4 linked regions of the Tribolium castaneum genome follow. The protein of the gene in region 4 purifies or fractionates together with the protein of the main gene of each other region. This does not show direct contact. Links are inferred from orthologs where the notes say so. Each region holds a gene or a part of one and is shown on either strand. Other genes may lie near its edges.

The links. Proteins that work in one complex are often made in the same cells at the same time.
Region 1: the proteins of mip40 (region 4) and lin-52 purify together in Homo sapiens (affinity purification with mass spectrometry; 6 studies listed by BioGRID and IntAct, counting the BioPlex papers as one, with this or other methods). This does not show direct contact. The link is inferred for Tribolium castaneum from reciprocal best matches to the Homo sapiens genes LIN37 and LIN52.
Region 2: the proteins of mip40 (region 4) and retinoblastoma-like protein 1 purify together in Homo sapiens (affinity purification with mass spectrometry; 3 studies listed by BioGRID and IntAct, with this or other methods). This does not show direct contact. The link is inferred for Tribolium castaneum from reciprocal best matches to the Homo sapiens genes LIN37 and RBL1.
Region 3: the proteins of mip40 (region 4) and protein lin-54 homolog purify together in Homo sapiens (affinity purification with mass spectrometry; 4 studies listed by BioGRID and IntAct, counting the BioPlex papers as one, with this or other methods). This does not show direct contact. The link is inferred for Tribolium castaneum from reciprocal best matches to the Homo sapiens genes LIN37 and LIN54.

What each region holds. Positions count from the first base shown.
Region 1 is NC_087402.1:6,134,971-6,138,915, reverse strand, and holds lin-52 (protein lin-52 homolog), read left to right. Parts: upstream 1-1,532; 5' UTR 1,533-1,646; coding exon 1,647-1,680; intron 1,681-1,873; coding exon 1,874-1,963; intron 1,964-2,014; coding exon 2,015-2,116; intron 2,117-2,169; coding exon 2,170-2,315; 3' UTR 2,316-2,562; downstream 2,563-3,945. Other genes in the region: probable protein phosphatase 2C T23F11.1, read right to left, coding at 382-1,000.
Region 2 is NC_087396.1:19,756,257-19,761,481, forward strand, and holds the start of retinoblastoma-like protein 1, read left to right. Parts: upstream 1-1,542; 5' UTR 1,543-1,960; coding exon 1,961-2,095; intron 2,096-2,141; coding exon 2,142-2,275; intron 2,276-2,325; coding exon 2,326-2,541; intron 2,542-2,594; coding exon 2,595-3,073; intron 3,074-3,185; coding exon 3,186-3,239; intron 3,240-3,291; coding exon 3,292-3,329; intron 3,330-3,374; coding exon 3,375-3,544; intron 3,545-3,594; coding exon 3,595-3,784; intron 3,785-3,835; coding exon 3,836-4,039; intron 4,040-5,098; coding exon 5,099-5,225. Other genes in the region: WD repeat-containing protein 64, read left to right, coding at 1-36, 86-274, 331-522, 581-921, 976-1,132, 1,183-1,416. UniProt on the Homo sapiens protein: Key regulator of entry into cell division. Directly involved in heterochromatin formation by maintaining overall chromatin structure and, in particular, that of constitutive heterochromatin by stabilizing histone methylation.
Region 3 is NC_087399.1:5,898,693-5,903,761, forward strand, and holds the start of protein lin-54 homolog, read left to right. Parts: upstream 1-1,386; 5' UTR 1,387-1,516; coding exon 1,517-1,535; intron 1,536-1,814; coding exon 1,815-1,970; intron 1,971-2,016; coding exon 2,017-2,930; intron 2,931-4,966; coding exon 4,967-5,069. UniProt on the Homo sapiens protein: Component of the DREAM complex, a multiprotein complex that can both act as a transcription activator or repressor depending on the context. In G0 phase, the complex binds to more than 800 promoters and is required for repression of E2F target genes.
Region 4 is NC_087399.1:3,374,691-3,379,217, reverse strand, and holds mip40 (protein lin-37 homolog), read left to right. Parts: upstream 1-2,207; 5' UTR 2,208-2,280; coding exon 2,281-2,459; intron 2,460-2,504; coding exon 2,505-2,678; intron 2,679-2,728; coding exon 2,729-2,891; intron 2,892-2,937; coding exon 2,938-3,086; intron 3,087-3,134; coding exon 3,135-3,156; 3' UTR 3,157-3,245; downstream 3,246-4,527. Other genes in the region: uncharacterized protein LOC107398505, read right to left, coding at 1-329, 378-449; RE1-silencing transcription factor B, read left to right, coding at 3,526-4,251.

The sequences.
Region 1 (3,945 bases), on a different chromosome or scaffold from region 4:
ACGAATGTTTTTCTTCGGATGTCGGTGTGTTAACAACCTGACGTAGTTCAGATAATGCACACTTTGTGACGTTATACGAGGCGATAAGTTAGTCTTTTAATCACTTAGTGGTGGTCGCCTATTAATAACAATTGTAAATATTTTTAATTAATGAATGACACAAGTGGAACACCGCCAGATTACTTAATTCGTAACATATGCTGACAACGTAACTTTAAAAATAACACACCCTTTGAATCAAATGGGACCATCCATCAACTGATGTAATTATTTACCTAAGTACCCAATTACTCACTTGATCTAAATATACACAATTCATAAAAGACTAACATAAATATTGACAGTGTTTAAACAAGATTAGCTCGCAATTTCCAGACTTACCTGTAACGATTTGTTCCTCCTGGGGTTTATCCTCGTTTCTTTTGAAAATAAAATCACCGAGGGCCCTGGAAAGGGCCAAGTTCCCGTTAACCCTGTTGTAATCAACAAACCCTCCCGCCGCTACGATCCTGTCGTACTCCTCCTTGTTGTTCGGCTTGTGGTCGTTCGAAAGCGGCTCCGCCTTGCCCCCAATGCTCGCCACAGCTCTAGAGTCCCCCACGTTGGCGCAGTACAACGTGCCATTTTTGATAATAATAGTGACGGCTGTGGAGCCCGACTGCTCGTTTCTCAACGACTCATCCTCCAGCATGACCCGGTCGATCTCCAAGAAGGCCTGCTTCAGCCCCTCCTCGATCTGGCCGTTCTTGTACTCCTCCCGGTTCGTGATAAACTTGTGCAGGTGCTTGCCCGCGTACTCCGAGATCTTGGAGCCCCCATGCCCGTCGTAGACCGCGAAAAACGCGGCCTCGGGGTCGTCCGGCAGGGACAAGATGTGCGTATGGGAGTCCTCCATGTTGATGCGCCAGCCCTGCATCGAACTTGAGCCCACTTGGAAATTGGCGTTTTGGCAGCATGCTGTGTTCTTGGCAGTCACCGGTTCGGACAAAGTTTGACCCATAGTACCCCTGAAAGGGCGATAAGTCCGCAAAAAGCGCAAAAACACGAGGCAAGCGGGAAAAAACCGTCGCTACTTACTCAAAATTGAACTCTGCTCTTTGGATGGGTTTTATTTAGCATACTTGTGCTAAATCGAATCGCATATTTTGCGTACGCTAATTAACACCGCTTTTTGCTGTTGTGTGTCACGAGATATGGAACGCAATATTTAGGTTAATCGGGAGAGAACTCTTCGAAAAAAGAGAAACTTGACGTTTGAATGTCGAGCTGGGACGCGGCCGGCTGAGTGCGTCATCGCCTGTGCACAAGGCCGAAAACTTTTTTATGTCCTAAACAATAAAAATGTGCGGCACGTTCTTCAAATAAAAACTATTGACAATAAATTCGTTGTTACTTATTACTAATTAAATTACGATTTGATTTTACAATCTTGGCGAGGGAAGCGCCAACATTGCGACACTTAATACACCAGCCAAATTTAAAAACCAAACTTTTACGAAATTGGGGGCAAGTGAATCGGGGTTGACACCCAATTAGGGTCATTTGCGACTTTTGCTCGTTCTGTATAGTGTTTCTTTGCCGCTTTCAAAGTCCCCCTAAAAGCGCAGCCTTTTGATTACGTTTGCTGCAGTTGGCACAATTGCAAGATGGCGTCCGAGAAACCCGGGAGCATTGAACAAGGTAAAGCATTTTTAATAAAAAATCACCCTGTAAATGTTACTTTTGGCTCAATTTAATTATTAAACGATTGTTGAGGCCTTGCATGGACAGTTTACGCGAAATTGTCGGCTAGCGTGCGTGGACAAGTTCGCATTTTAAACAGAGTGGCTTATGTCAATCTGTCAAAATATAATTGATTTGTTGCATTTCCTAGAGCAAGATCAATCTTTGAGCGATCTAGAGCAGACCTTAATGAGTATGGAAAATCTGGATAGAGCCTCTCCAGAAATTTGGCCAGAGAAGTGTAAGTAGCGTTGCACATGTTTGTGGGATTAGGGCAATAATAGGGTTTCAGATCCAGGAATGACAGATTTTGTAAACAGTTTCACGCCACCAAGTGCCGTAAAACTGCCTTACTCGAAGGAATTGAGTCAGGATGACCAGAATTATCTGCACCGTAAGTTTGGATTAGTTTTTGTGTGATTGTAGAGAAGAGTGTGGTTTTTGTAGAATTAGCAGCTCTTCCAACAGCTGGACTGATTTCTAAAGTCAAGGAGTTGCATGATATTGCATATCAGTTGGGTGTTGAGGAATCGAAAGAAGTCACAAGGGGGAAATACTTAAATGTTTTTAAGCCCAGGCAGAAGCAGAAATGATTTGCAATTTGTTACCTAAGTAGAGGTTCCAAATAACGTGGAAGTTATAAAAAGAGCAGGGGAAATATATTTGTACATAGGATTATAAGTTTAAGTTTAAAGAAGTGATTGTACGTTAATTTCCTGGAGAAAATCATTTTTGTAATGTATTATTAAGCAAGTGCTTCAAAAGGATTTATGTATTATATTGCACTGCTGAAGTTTCGTTTGTATAATAAAAATCGAAAATAAATTTGGTTTTGTAAAAGGTGTCTTCATTTTCTACAATTAAAATTTTGTTCCCCGTTAGCTCACCAAAACAATAATGAGGTGATGCATTATTATTATTATTATTATTATTATTATTACTGAACCCAGCAGCTTCCTAGATTAAAAATATCCGGTGGAATGTAAATTGATAATTATTTTTGCAGGAGATTAAGCTCTCTAATAGGGCCTTCAACTGTAAAAAATCATGTTCGGACAAACATTCCTTAGGACCTTAACATTTTTTTAATTTTTATAAAATTTCTCGATTTTGCAAATTGCGTTAAAAAACTCGTATTTAAGGATTGCTCTAATTAGTCAAATTAATAACTCATTTGTCCAGCAAGAACCAGAAGAAGGTTTAGAACATTCTTGCCAGGAAAAAAGGAATTAAGGATGAGGTAAACAATGATTATTAGAAAATAAAGGAATTATTTATGAAAAAAAAACAACACATAAATCAAATATTTTTTACTTGGCGTTAAATAAGATGCACCTACCTTCATATGGTTTCTGCGTTGGCTACTGTTTGTAGTTTGAAAATGTAAAAATTTTTACTTTTATGAATTTTGTGTCCGTTTCTGCTCTTTTAGAGCGTTATTAATTATTATTGAGTAGGTTTAAGGGTAGACAAATCTTCCTTGAGTCAACGACATAAACTTTAGTGTGATTTATTGAAATGTCTATTGGGCAAAAATAAACTTTTCGTGTCAAACATTTACATTAAAAAGGGTGTTTGATCGTTTATAAAGGGCGTGTACAAGCACAAGTACAACAACTTTTCTGTAAAAGCATTTTGCAAAATTTTTATTCATTATTTTCACTATTTTCCTTCTTTCCGGTAATAACTGATTCACTCTTCGGGGACTATTTTGAATATTGTAATAAATTTTCAAAGTTTGCGAAGAAAATGTTTTTTCGCGTAGAATGGCTGCAACCAACAATCCACTCTTGAAGAAAAACGCTTTAATTTTAATTAAAAACCAAAAGTCACTACTTATTTTCATTGAATTACATTGAACACTTATAAAAATTGTTAGTTCCCTTCATGTTGTTGAAAAAAAATATTTTGACTGCTGTTTGATGTGAATTATGTCCTCGCTTCGTTTTAAAAACGGCCTGAACTTTTGTAACTTTACTCTGGCTTGAATCAATGCTTTAGCTTCAATAATGCCGTTTCCATATTTTATATCCTGACCTTGTAATGGGCCTACAAAATCTCAATCAGATTCAATAGCTTCGTCCTTTTACAAACTCTCATTTCCTGCATTATATCCAAAAAAAAAACTGTCCAATACGCTTAAAAATTTCACAAAGAAAGTCGAAGTAAAGATATAAAATAGTGTCGTAACATCAATTACTAAATTTGTTTACCGTAATAATG
Region 2 (5,225 bases), on a different chromosome or scaffold from region 4:
AAACACAACGACAGAATTAATTTATTCTACTGGGATGTACGTCCGATTTTTTGTCACTGTACAAACAGATTAGATAATTTTGCAGGAGTTACCAGATGAAAGTGATTACGTTGTTGTTAAACGTAACGGGCGTCTACATCAAGAGAGTGTCAAATGGCTTGTATATTTTAATGATAATGAAACTCTTATTTCTTGCAGCAAAGACTCAAATGTGTCAATATTAATACATTATATCGGAAATAAAAACAAGCCGTACATTTTCAAGATACAAAAAGTAAGTAACACAGTCACTGTTACGAAAGTTGTCATATTTATTTATTAAACCGCTAGGGTTGTAACTGTTTTGCATTAAGCAGAATACGTAAGATACTAGCCACAGGAAGCGAAAATTCTGTTCTGAGATTGTGGAACCCTATTATTACCTCAAAACCAATCGCAATTTTGAAAGGACATCAAGCACCGATTATGGACGTTAAAATATTGGATAAACTAAATTTACTTATTAGTTGTTCAGCTGATGCAGTATATTTTTCTATTTTGCATTTAATTCTATTTACTAATTTTTGTATAATTGTTGTAGATGTTTAAATTATGGGATTTGGAAAAACAAAAGTGCATTCAAAGTTTTTCTATCAGTTTCCCGTCTTTTAAAGTGTTTGGAAAATTAATTGAATGGGGAATTGAATGCATTTATCCCGGCCCTAAACGCACTTCCTTTAATGAGATTGAGATCGAACTTTTTGAAAGATCACCACTGTTAATCACTTGTTGCAATCACATCGCTGTTATTAAAATAGTAAATCAGAGCAACGAAATACAGAAAATTGTTGAATCGCAAGTTTTGCCTCCACCTCCTCTACAAAATAGTGTTTTGATTCCAAAAATGTGGAGAACGTCTGATAGTCCCGAAACAATAAATAAGTATGATTTTTTTTCTAAACCTCGTTTTTTATTAAATTGTTAACGCTATTACAGAGAAGAACAGTTTGAAGAAGCAATTGATGACAAATTTCTCAAAGAAAAAATAAAAGAGTTGGAATTTATTCTAAAAAAAGACCTGTTTGCAAATGATGGCTCAAGTAAGAGCGATATCAATTTCAAAATTGCGACATTAGAGCGAAAAAAAGTGCAGGCATGTATAGCAATGAATTGATTTTATTTATGTCAACAAATAATATTTAGATGCGAGAAAACGTTGCACGCGGTGCTCCCTATTTAGCCCTGGAGCTACCCGAAGTGAGCGACCTATACCTAACACCAAACTTGCCCGTCCCTGACAAAAAGAAAACGAAAAATATTGTGGAAAAAATCGAGAAAGTTTTACAAGACGCCAGTTACAAGGACTTGGTATTTTCGGAACCCTCCTCCAGCCGCTCGCCACGGTCCTCACGAAGCAGTGTTATTGAATTTGACTAGTATCACTGTAATAAAAATTTTTGTAATAAAAATTAAAATTCATCTTGCGCGCGTCCCCAAGCCAGCAGGTGAAGCTTCCACTAATGCGAAACTTCCCTAAACGGTGTTTGTGTTTGGCGCTAAGAATTGGCGGGAAAGCCCATTTCTCTCCCCTTTTCGTGCCCACAGCAGCTGTATTGGCACATAGTGTCCTAATTAATTAAAGTGTGGCTAAAAACTTGCAAAGTGCTTCGATTATAAAGTTACTGGTAACTTTCCAAATTTGGGTTTGAGGTTACCCTCCATGCGCAGTCAAAAGTAGTTCTGGCTGATCGACAAAAAACTGTGTACGTATTCGCGCGTAAACGCCGAAATATTTTGGATTTTAGCGGCATTTCCTCGTCGAAAATAATGTGCAAAGCGGGAAAGTCGGGGTTTGAGCGTGATTGTGTTGTTTTTTAGTCGTCTCTTGTGTGGATTCCCGCCTTTTGTAGGCGTTGTCAAGAGCTCAATGGTGGCTAGTGGTGCGAAATTGTTTAGCAGCGGTTTGTAATTGTTGGAAATCATGGTGTTATCAAGCGAAACCGAAGAATTGGAGGAGAAACACTCAGAACTGTGCAACAAACTGCACCTGAGCCAACAGATTTCCAGAGACGCTTGGGAGCGATTTGAGACAATTAACAAGAATTTCACTCTGGAGGTGAGTCTCAACCCCTTAAATCACTGCAAACTATCGGGATTTTCAGGGGGAGCCCCTCCACTGGATAGGGTGTGCAATATACGTGTCGTGTTGGAAGTCCATCGCTGCAACGGCTGCACAAAATAGTGTTCACACGAATTGTGTTAACTTGACCAATCTTCTGCGTCATTGTAACTTAAGGTCAGCCAACAACAAACAGTCTTTGGGTTATTTTTAACGCATGGTTACAGCATAGCACAGTTCTTTTACAAAATCAAACAATGGTCGGACATGGCCAGCATGCCTGAGGAGTTCAAAAAGCGGATTGAGTATCTGGAAGGGAGCTTCTCTGTGGCTTACAACGTTTTTAAAGAATACCAGCCTCTCTTTATGCAAATATTTAAGGCACCTAAAGCTCCAGAAGCGCACGAACTGGACACAAGTAAACACAGAAACCGGAAAAATAAGTAAGAAGTCTCTCTAAACCAATTTATTTCAACTACGAAATTGTATATTTTAGACCTGTGCCTTCGTCCCCACTCAAAGTCTTCGAGTTTTGTTGGACCTTGTTTATCACAATAAAAAGTGAAGACACGAATTATAACAACGACTTGGTCACGTCGTGTCATTTACTTATTGCCATTTGCGACTGGGCGTTCAAACATGCGCTCCAAGCCGACCGCAAGGATCTCCTAAACCCCGACTTTGCGGGCCTGCCTGAAGACTTCGCCCAGCCCAGCTATGTGCCCCCTTCGGAGGCCCCTTGCATCGTCAGCTTACTGTGCCCCAGTCCGAACATAATCACCGACCTGAAGTACGTAAAAGAGTACCAGTTCAAAAAATCGATTCGGAATTATCTCGACCAAGGCGTCTTGATTGAGAACGACCAAGGCGATGTCTTGGACACCTCGGTGTTTGACCATAATTACAAAAGCATTGGGAACGTGTACGAGAAAAATATCCTGAATAAGAGCGATTTTGACGAGCGCATTTTCCTGGGTGAGTGATTTTACAGCTAGTCCAATCATATGGCGAGCCAGCTGCGCAAACAGCTGACTGTCTTACCTGAACAGATGCTCCTGACCTTGCCCTAACACCTGTTTCATTCCAGCTGAGTACAAAAGAAAACTTCTAGTGAGAGACCAGAGTGTGGCGCAAAATGCAGGTAATTTGAATCGAGAAATCTATGATCAAACAATTGAATTTTGCAATTTCAGCTGACAACGCAAGTCCGGAGTTATCGACCAAAGAAATGGTATTTTATTTTTGTGTGTGGTATTTTTTTTACGTTTGTTAATAGGTTGTTAGTAAAGAGTGTTTGACGCCGCTCACTGGCCGCAAATATTTGGGCCCGAAGGAGTCGCAAGAGTCGACTCCGCTTGTGACAGCTACTGAAAGCATTTCAAGGCTTAATAACTTGCTTCATGGGCGCCAGCCGGCCCCCAGTGAGGCTTTAGTGCAATTGTTTGAGTAATTATGACGCCCAGAGTGGTTGAACGTGTCTATGATGATGTTTTAAGGTCTTGTGCTCGCAATCCAACTGAGAGAATCAATCAAATTGTTACAAATTTGGGGGAGAGGTTTCTGGAAGGCCACCCAGTTGACCAAAGAGAAGTAGCACAAAGGCGACTGCAGCTCGCGACAACTTTGTTTTATAAATTTATTGAAAGTATTCTGCAGAATGAGCGCTCAATACATGCTGATTTATCGGTATGTTTTTTAATTATTATTTGTTCTGTAGTATTTTTATTGTTTTTTTAGGCCATTGTGGAAAAAGACGTATTTTACGAATGTATGTTTGCTTGTTGTTTAGAAATTGTTATTTATTCATACAATAGTCGGCAAAGGTTCCCCTGGATATTGAAAGCACTGCAAATACAACCATATAATTTTGTTAAAGTGATTGAACTTATCATTCGCTCAAGAGATAAGCTTTCAAGGGACACTATCAAACACCTTAATATGGTAAGAACATTACAGTCGGGATGTTTTTTTGATTTGAGATTTCGTGAAACTGTGCAAAAAATCATAAAATTTTCTCAAAAATAGACCAAAATATGTTTCAATATACTCTCCACCTCTAAATAAAATTAGTTCGTCAAATTAAAAAAAAGCGGAAATTATGAAATTAGTTCAAAAATAGTGTAATTTTTCGCCATTTAAACACGTGTTTGCGCTAGAAACTAAATTTGTTCGTGAAATTACGCTGAACTGGGGCAGAAAAAAAACTAGCAGTGACATTTATTTCCTATTTAAGAGGGTTTTAACACGGTTTGCATATGTAAGGACACAATTATTTTAAAGAATTTTGGCGCAAGTTTAAAGAAATTAAATTATTGTGCTCGAAAACGGTGTTATTGTCTGGTTTTTTTTGAACTAAAAAATTAAATTACGTTAAATGGTTTAAGTATATTTTCTAGTTAGCAAATTTTTAATTTAAGACGAAATCTTTAAATTGAAGCGGTAAGTACGTGTTTGAGCTAAAAACTCATTTTCTTCGCTAAATTTCGCTAATCTCTGCCAGAAAAATCGTCAAAGTCGGTTGAGAATGTCATTTATTTTGCTTTTTTTAAGGGTTTAAACGTGTTTTTCATCAAGAAACGCAATTATTTTAATCTTTTTCGAGAAATAAAACACATTTTTGAGCTCAATAGTCAGGTTTTTCGCGACGTTTTGATAAACTGGACTGAAAAATCATTAAGAAATTAGGTCAAATTGATTTTTCTACACTATCTTGTAGACAGGTTTTATAAAAATCCTCTTCTTTTAATCAATTTTTGAAAGTTTTCAAGGGCCATATAATAAGAAATGCATAACTGTATTTTATTTGAATATTTAATTGTCGAATTTACGAGTAAATATTTTGTTTTAAAGCTTCAGATATCTTCTACATATAAAGCAAACAGTGAAGAAGGATTATGATTTATTTCAATCACTGATAATTTATTATAATTAGTCAGCAGTTTCTGTTTCTCATTCTGTTCTCCACCTTTACTCTGTTTTGTATGAAACTGTCGTTTTTAGATCGAGGAAACTATACTTTCCTCGCTGGTCTGGAAATCAGACAGTTTAATTTGGGAAGCAATAACATCTTCCGATAGGGAAGTACCGAAATTCGAAGAGACGGCTTTGCCAGGGCATATGCAAAATG
Region 3 (5,069 bases), about 2.5 Mb from region 4:
ACTTAGTGCTTTAATTTTTTTCTAAGTTTCAAAATAATGTTAAATAACCGGTTTTGAGGGTGAGAAAGTTGCCAAATTAAATGTGGAAGCCAAACACGACATTTATTTCTTATAAACGTTAATTCATTAATAAATTATTTTCATTCATTGTATTTATTTTTTCTTTATATTTATAATACTAACAAAATTTTGCAATTAAACACATTTAACCGATTTTCAATAAAATCGGTTATGTGTGTTTAAATTGTAAAAAAATTATAATATTAAATTAATTGTATAAATAATAAAATATTTAAATTTGCCGCCAATTTTAGTTCCTCATACTACCAAGATATGGCGCTATTATCGAAATTTTGACGACCAGTGAATTACGTGTTACTTGATTTTCTATAACTACTATATTCTATGGCTTGCGCGCAGATCGCTAAAAAGATCGCTTCGAAAATATCGCGCCAAAAGTGTTGTTTTGTCACTCATCGTTCAACGTGTTACCGGAAGTATGTAGTAATTATTTGTTTAATCGTTTAATCAAAGCAAAAATTCTGATTACAGTTCGTTAGTGAGTCAATTCCTGGTGTTGAGCGCCGACGAAAAAGATAAGTATCTCTTCTTTTGTTAATATAACCTCATCTTTTTGATTGGTGTTTCTTTCTATTTTAAAGGCATTGGTCTCTGGGCTGGAGTGACGGATTTTTGATTTCTACTACTCAAGCGAACTTTAGTCATGGCTGGTTATCGCAAATATTCCTGCAAATACCCCGGATGCACCAGTGGTTATGTTCCCAACAAAGGACAGTCCAATAAGCATTTCTTCACCTTCCCTAAGAATCCAAAGCTTCAAGAATTGTGGAAGAATGCCTGCAAAATTGAGGATCCTGTAAGTTCAAAATTGTACCTCCTCGTGGTCGTAGCGTGGGCAACTGTTTGCTGACAGACAAGGTAAAAGTCATTGCAAAGCAGACCTTATTTTGTTTTAAGTCTCGAGCAGACAGGCAAAACATGCCAACACTGACTGATTTAATTTTTTGATAATTTTTGTATAATTAAGAAATAATACAATACTTTAATTTTTTGAAAAATTTAATTTGTTATGTTACTCAAGTGTACAATAAAAATGTTAACAAAATCTGTGTTTTATTACCCCAAAACAACTTTTTTTGTAAGTTTCATTGCAAATTTTGTTTAAAATAAATATAAAACGTTTTCACTTTGTTTAAAATGAAAATATATTTTTTTATTTTAAACAATTTGCAATGAAACTTGTAAGATAAAAATAATAAAAAACAATATAAAAGGAATTTATTCAAACGTGGCGCTTTACCGTGGTAGTAACGCACTTCAGGACCAGAGGCGCTGGATTCTCGTGTTGCCAGTGATTTACTAGGGAATTATCACTTCTTAACCCTTACTGTTCTGTGGTTTGAACGCTTCCCTGGTCACGTGACATGTCAAATTTGACTATGGTGTTTTGAATAGTTTTAATTTTTGTGAAAATTCGGTAAAATCGGGCGCAATTATGCCCTTCAGTGACAAAGGTAGTGTATTTGCGTTGGACACTGGCTTCCTTCTTAATTGTGGGTCGTTTCGTGGCCAAATTTTCCACGCCAGGAGCGCGATTTTAAAAAGCGTCCTTTTCACTTGAGGCTCCAAATTTGAATCAAACCTAGGGCCTTAGCGCGAATTTGCGAGCACCATGGACGCGTCCAGTCACACTTTAACTGGTATTGCGGTTTACACACGAGTCAATAATTTTTCAATTTGAACCAAAAGTGTGAAATTCCCGGGGTCAGAATTCAAAAATGCCTCGCTTGCAGGTAACAACGAAGACGTGGAGGCCCTCGTGGACACTCTCACCATCGATGGGGCCACTCTGACCGAGACAAACCTCACGAGTTTGTCTTCCACAGACATCCAGCAACTGGCGGAACTGTCCCAAGAGCTGCACCTTTCAAACGACATGGAGACCGACGGTAAGCCCGGCCTCTGCCCAAAATCGCCCTCAACTACAGGTTTCAGAACCAGAGGTGATAATCGAGACAGTTGAGGAGACCGGTCAAGTGGACGCTGACGTCATGCAGTCCGAAATAGGGGCCCAAGAGATTGAGATTGAAACCGAACGCGCCCCCTCCCCCGAGGAGATCCTCCCGGACGTCAAAATCAAAACCTCCACAATCCCCCCATTGCGCCCCCTGACCATAGCCCCCAAACCCGCCAAGGCGGTCCCCATCGCCATGAAGCCGGCCCCCGGCCAACAACTCCTCCTCCTCCAGGGGACTGGCGGCAACCAAGCCATCAAACTGGTCTCATCCGGGGGCCAAGAGCTGAACCTCGCCAACGTGTCTTTGGGGCGCCCCGTGGCCATCAAGCCCGCCGTCAAAACAGTCACCACCACCTTAGTCCAGCCCAAGCAAGTCGTCATGAAGAAAATCGTCACCTCCACGCAGAAAACGCCCCCGAAGACCACCCCCACGTTCACCAACAAGCAGGGGCATATTATGGTGGTGCAGAAAGCCGACCAAGTCAAGCTAATGCCGGGGCAAACCACGCTTCCGAGCCCCGCCAAGACTATAACCCTTCAGCAAGCGCAGGAGATGGGGCTCATTACCACCACCAAGGTGCTCCCGCAGGCCACTTCCACACCGAAGCGTACTATGGTTTTGAATAATCCTGGCACCAAGGCGATTAAAATTGTGCCCCAAGTGGCGCCAGGACAGTTGTTGGGGCAGAAAACGGTCGTGAGTCAGATTAAGTCGCCCACGAAGATACTTCCAGCTACGCAGGCGACTGGAGGGAAGGTGCCCCAAAGGATTATTTTCAAGAGTTCGGGGACGGGGCACACGATTTTGTCTTCGCCGCAAATTATACAAGTGGCAGGGACGCAGGCGCTGAGCACGGGACAGTTGCATCAGATTAATATTCCAGGGAAAGGGGTGAGTTTTTCAAGGTGGATCAGTTGATTATTTCGACCAGTTGGGGCCCAACTTAGTCGATAAATCATCAAATTGGTTCGAAAATCGCATTTTTGTATTTCTAAAGCGTTTAAGTAGGTTTTTTTGAGGAGTTTCGTAGTAAAGAAAAATCACTGAATCATGTGAAAAATTTTATTTTTGAATTTTTTACAACCAGGATACGAATAATTTCGGGGAATATCATCAGAAGTAAGCAAAAAAGCTCCGAATTATATGAACAATGATATTGTTTTTCTCCCTTTTCGAACGTCTAAAGACTTCTTGAGCTATCAAATGAGTAAATTAGATCAGAATTTACTTTTCTTTGCCATTTTGGGAGCATTTTAATCGGTTTTACTGACAGAACCGCAATTCTTTCTAGGACTTTCGTTACAAATAACCCAAAAAGCCACTATAAGGTGGGTAAAAAATTCCATCGTTTTTTTTTTGAGGACTTTAGAAAGACCGTATCGCGAGATTTTGGTTAAACTGGAACAAAAAATTCCTAAAGTCAAAACGCGAACGCGTTTTTGTGCTTTTTGTGAGCGTTTTATACTCTTTCCAGCCAGGAACCTAATTGTAACTTTTTAGAGGAGTTTTATCAGAAATAAACTAAAAAAAAACGATAATATTGTTGCCCCTTTTAAGCGTTAAACACAAAATTTTTAACTAAATTTTGTTAGATTGGACCAAAAAATCGCCAAGTTAGTTCTCTGATGGCATTAACTTGACTTTACGAGCATTTTATTGCGATTTATTAGCAAAAAATATAATTATTTTAAGGAAGTGATTAAAAAAAGTGCACCAAAATTCACCAAATTGACCAAACTAGTTCGGAAAAGATGCAATCTTTACCTTTTGGGAACGTTTCTCATGTTTTTTTTAATGAAAAGAATTTTTTCGCGCGATTTTTCGATCAAAAAAGCAAATTAAGAAAGCCAGACTGCTATTTAGAATTTTTTTTTAATAAGAGCGATGTCATTAACTCATTAAGGAGGAGAATACCACGCTATAAAGCACCGAATTTCAGCCATTTTTCTCAGTGTTTTTTTAAATAGAAGGTCTTTAAAAAAAATTACTGTGCATCAATAATAAGTGTTAAAGAAAAATTAAAATACTGTAGTGGACTCTTAAGAATACAATTGCTTTTGTTTTAACTTTTACTTTGAAGACTGCAAACTAAGCTGTAAAATTACTAATTATACCAAAAATAATGTTATTTTTGGTCATTTTCAAATGTTTAAGCAGTTTTTAAATTAAAAATTCTATATTTTTTTCGAAAGAGATTTCGGTAAACTGGTAAATTATGTAAAAGATTACGGAACCTAGATAAAAGTAAACCGAGAAATTGCTAAATTCTATGAAAAATGATTATATTTGGACCATTTTTGGTTCTTTTTGAGCTGAAAACTCAAGTTATTCGCGAGGTTTTGTTAAAATGGATCAAAAAATATCACTAATTATGTGAAAAAGTATAAAATTTTTATCTTTTCAAGAAATATTAGTGACTTTTACGGCCAAAAACGTAAATTTTTCGTAAAATATTAACCTAAAAACAATAAATAATGTCAAAAACGGTGTAATTATCATTTATTTAAAATTGAAAAATGTTTTAAAGTATGTTAAAAATTGTGCCATTTTTGCATTTTTTGAGCGTTCAAGCACCTTTTACCAATATTTTTTTTTGGGTGTTTGTACCCGTAATAGGTACATCTTAATCTCAAATAATGACTTTATTTCTGCCTTTTTTTTGGTGCTTGCAGTACATTTTGCAGCTAGTAATATACTTATTTCAAAAATTTTCGTCGAAAGAACCGTCCAAAAATAATTTAGTTGGAAAATGGTATCACCTGTTAAAAACTCAGTTTTCGAATTATTTCATTTAAACGACCCAAAAAAATAAATTTTGAATAAAATGATATATTTGTTTTTTTCGTGTATTTTCCAAAATAAGCCCGGAACTTGGTCGAAAAACGCCGTTGTGTTTCAATTTACTGAATTAATTTTCTCCTTTTCAGATGCAATACATTAAGTTTGTGACGGCCACCAATGCCGAGACCACGCCCTTTTCCTCGGGAGCCTCCACCCTCACGACCGTAAAATCGTCAATGCAAGCGTCCC
Region 4 (4,527 bases):
ATGGGGCACTTGTCTGGATTTTTCCACCCTAGGGCTTTCCCAGTCCTGATCATACTCTCCCGCCCATATCTCATCCCGATACTGTTACACGGATCTTTCTGCCACGTCAAGGACGGTAGCATTTTCCAGTCTCCTTCAGTGTACTTTTCCACGAAAATTGCACCTTCTGCCGTTTCGTCCAAAGGCTTTGCGAATGTAAAATCAATGGAGATGGCACGATGGGTGCGATTGAAACGATCGATTCGGAAAAGTCTGATAGGGACTTCGAGTTTGTCGTTATCAGGGCATAAATAACCCGTTTCCAAGTCTGCTTTAAATTTACTCGTGAGCTGGAATAAAAAATTTAGGTGTTTTTGTAATTGGGTGATTGGGCTTACGAAATTGCCGTTTGTGGTTTTTGGGGTGAAAAAAATTAAGCAGAGGATGGGTCGCAAAAGTTGGAAGGACATTTCGTAGTTCGTGCCAGTTTTGACAAAAACACAATTAATTTATAGGTTTGCAATTATATGCTCATGCCAGAGGTTATTATTATACGCAACAAAACGGATGAGAGATTGGAGATAAAAATGAATTTTTGACAAACAACCAATGAAAGATTTTAAACACAACATATGATTTACTATAACAATGATTTTGTTGTATCATAAAAAAATAAAATTTATTTTTGCTAACAGTCATTCTTGACCATTTTACTGAAAATTTTTCCGAATGGATTTTTGAAACTGGCTGTATTTACAGTTGTTTGACTACTTTTTAAGTAATTTGTAAAATACAGGTAAGGGTTTTTTTGTGGATACTAGATGAGTTGCTTCTAATTGAATCTACAGTTATTATAAGAATTTATAGGACAATTAAAAATGGTGGATGCGCCGGGAAAATGTTACATATTGCAATTATGAATAGAACAATCATAATTTTGAGACAATTAAGTGTTAGAAATAATTTTTTTAAAAGTCTTGTCAATGATTGTTTAAGTCAAATTAAATAAAAAAAATTCAAAAAAAATATTTTTTTTTCAAAAAATTTTGTGGATTAATTGATATCTAACACTCTTTTAGGACAAAATATGCAAAAACAATCATTTTGTGACGTATATTTGACTCATGTAATGATTTTTTCGTCCAATTTCAGTCTACAAATAACACGCAATGTTTCTCGAAAACTTGTTACTACTTTCATTTATTGGAAACACCGTCAGCGTCAGTTTTGTAACACTTTTCCACCTATTTTTTTCTTCAAATTATAACATTTACATTTTAGTTAGTAAACAGATTCACTGCGGACCTTGAATCCGCTTACTTATGCCCTGATAATGATAAACTTGAAATCCCCATGAAACTTATCCGCATTGATCGGCTTAACCGCACCCATCGGGCCATTACCATGGAATTTTCCTTCGCCCATGCGGTGGATGACACCTCTGAAGGGACTTATTTTATCGAAAGATTTGTCGATGGCGGCTGGAAGTCGTTTCCAGGTGTTCCTTTCCAGAAAGATGTTTGTAAAACTTTGATGAAGTATAGCAAAGATTCAATGGTTAGGTTGGGCAAAGTTATGGGGATGGAACGGCCTGGTACATGTCCCATCCCTGCGGGGAATTACTCGGTAAAAAGATGGCCCTTTGAGCTGCATTTTGAGACGCCTTTCTGGCCGGGGAGGTACAGGTTTCAGACGGTTTGGAGGCGCATTGCCACCAAACAGAAGATTTTTTGCTCCATGAGTGTCATTAATTTTGTTGAGATTGTCGAATAAAAATAAAATTGTTGACTATTATTCACTCAATAAAAAAGTAATTGAAGGAATTACAAGTAAATAAGGAAAATGAGAACACATAATTATTTATTTTGAGCGTTTGAAATAAAACAAAATTATTTGTTATTTAAAAATTTATTCAAAACAATACAACTGTGTTAAAACGAAATAAATATAAAAACCGTTACACATACGCAGATCTGGCTTTTACAACTCTATTAAACGATTTATAATAAAAAACTCGGTACTTTTGACTTAAAAATGACAAGCTGGCAAACATAACAACTAAAAAAGTTGTTTCGGTGGGTGATTCAGTCACAAAAAACAATTCTTTTTTTTCCTATTTTCAAAGTAAAGTGGAGCACTATTGTAATATTATTATTTTACACAACAAATCGAAAAACTTCCACACTCTTCTGGCTTTTTTTTTGGTTACACAACAGTAACATTTGAGGCGGTTCTGTTGGTGCTCACATAGTGACGCTTGCCTTAACCTCATTATTGACTGTTACAATTCAAAATAACAAAATGACCAAAAAACGCAAGTTTTCGTCAAATTTGGGCTCAATTAAGGTGGAAGTGAAGGAGGAGAACGTCCTGGGCAATGACTACTTGATGGCCAAGGGCCGCCTCAAAGGCGTCCTCAAGCAACTAACTGAGAAAAGTGACTCCGACAGCGACTCGTCCGATGAACGGAGTTCCAAATAGTAATTTAAACTTTTTTTTGGCCAATTTTTCACTAATTTTTGTAGCGAAAATCGCAAACGTAAAGGCGACTCTGTCCTAACCCCCTACCGCCACACCTACGTTATGAAATTATTCGACAGAAGCGTAGATTTGGCCCGGTTTGAGGAGGACACTCCCTTGTACCCCATTTGCAGGGCTTGGATGCAGAACCAGCCCCGAAATCCGCAATCAATCGTTAAGTGAGTTTGCAATCATTGTTGCCAACTCAATTTTAAACCAAATTATTTAGGCGCCGATTATCGTCACCTGAACCTAATGAATTTAACTGGAATACGAGCATGATCACAGACTTGCACAGGTTGCCGCCCCCTATAGGTCCCGTGGTCAGTAGAATCCCATCACCTTTGCCTGAACAAACGGAACAAAACAAGGATAATATAAATTTGAATTATGTAAGATGGTACAATTTATTACTAAAAATTGATCGTTTCATCACAGGAGGAATGTCCACCTGTTCCCAAAGATATCTTGATCAGGAATCACCTGCAAAGGTGGGTCAAGGTCAAGAAGAAGTGGATTGACACTGCGGTTAAAAACGAGGAACGGTATCATTTGAGCACGCAAATGCTCCAAACTATTTACAATAAGTACGAAAACACGTACAATTTCGTCTAGTTTAATTTTCTGTTTTTCAGGGCACAAGAAGCAATGGAATAGTTTTTAACACTTGGAATTTTATTGTATTGTGTGTTGTAATGAAAGTAGTGATTTTGTCAACGCATTTAATAAACCATTTTACAACAAAATGCAGTTTTAATATACACCCCGAGAAATTCTCTTGCCAACCTGACCATTCAAACCCAAACGAGCGAAATGTTTATCCACATATTATGAATGTATTTATTAGCCTAGAGACTCTCAGGCCCCTTTTTTATCTTTAAAATATTTTGAATGTTTTTTTTTGACAATTTGAGCACTGACATTGTTGACAGCTGTCAGTCGTCCTAACCTAACTTCTACAATTTTTACCTGTTTTTAAGCCCAAACAATTTAGAAAAATTATGTGAAAGTGTAATTATCGTAAAAATGGCCACCTCGACCGAAATCGAGACCTACATTATTGACGACGACGACGAGCCCGAAGCCCCGGAGCTCGACGAGGAAGAGAACCGTTTTTACACCATAAACTCTACCCTAGACAAGCAAATCGCCCAGGACATGGAAGCCATCCGCAACTACATCTCGGAAGCCCCCCGGTTCGACCCCCTCAAGAAACGAATCGAGTTTTTCAACAGCATGGACACGTCATATATCGACCGTTGTGTGGACAAGACCGTGGACCCCATCCTGTGCCAACACACGGGTCTGGGGACCCTCAAGTGGCACACCTGCAACCAGTGCGACTTCAAGACCGAAACCAAGGAGCAGTTGCGCCAGCACGTCATCATCAAACACACCCAACTGGGCAAGTTAAACTGGTATGTGTGCCAGCACTGCGAGTTCGTGTGCCCCCAGGAGGCCGATATGGCGAAACACACGAAGGGAGCACACGAGAACAAGTGCACAGAGTGCGGGGAGGTGTTCATCACGGAGCCCCATCTGCTGAGGCACAGGGCACACAAACACGGCTTGAAGATATTTGATTGTAAAAAGTGCGAGTTTGTGACCAAAACATCCGAAGAATTTACGAGGCATACGTTAACACATGCCAAACTCAACTTCAGTTGGTACAAATGTGAAAGGTGCGAGTATCGAACGGTCAAAAAGTCCAATTTGGACAGACACATCAGCCACAAACATTCGTTTTTTTAGTTTAGGGATTTATAAATAACCGGATTTATTCGTATTTTTTACCTCAAATCAAATAAAACACTCAAGTCGCATGTGCTGTGTTTCATTTCACGCGCGTGATTGGCCGAAGCCGGTCACGTGGCGACGCCAACCAATCACAATCCGCTTGTCAGTTTTTTAACGTAACCTAAAAAAGTATAAAATCTAGTTGTTTCCTTTTGTGTTTCGATTAATTCTCGAGCCCTTGGTGATTATTTTACATTCGCGATCGTGCGCGGAGTGGTTTTCGGTGATCGT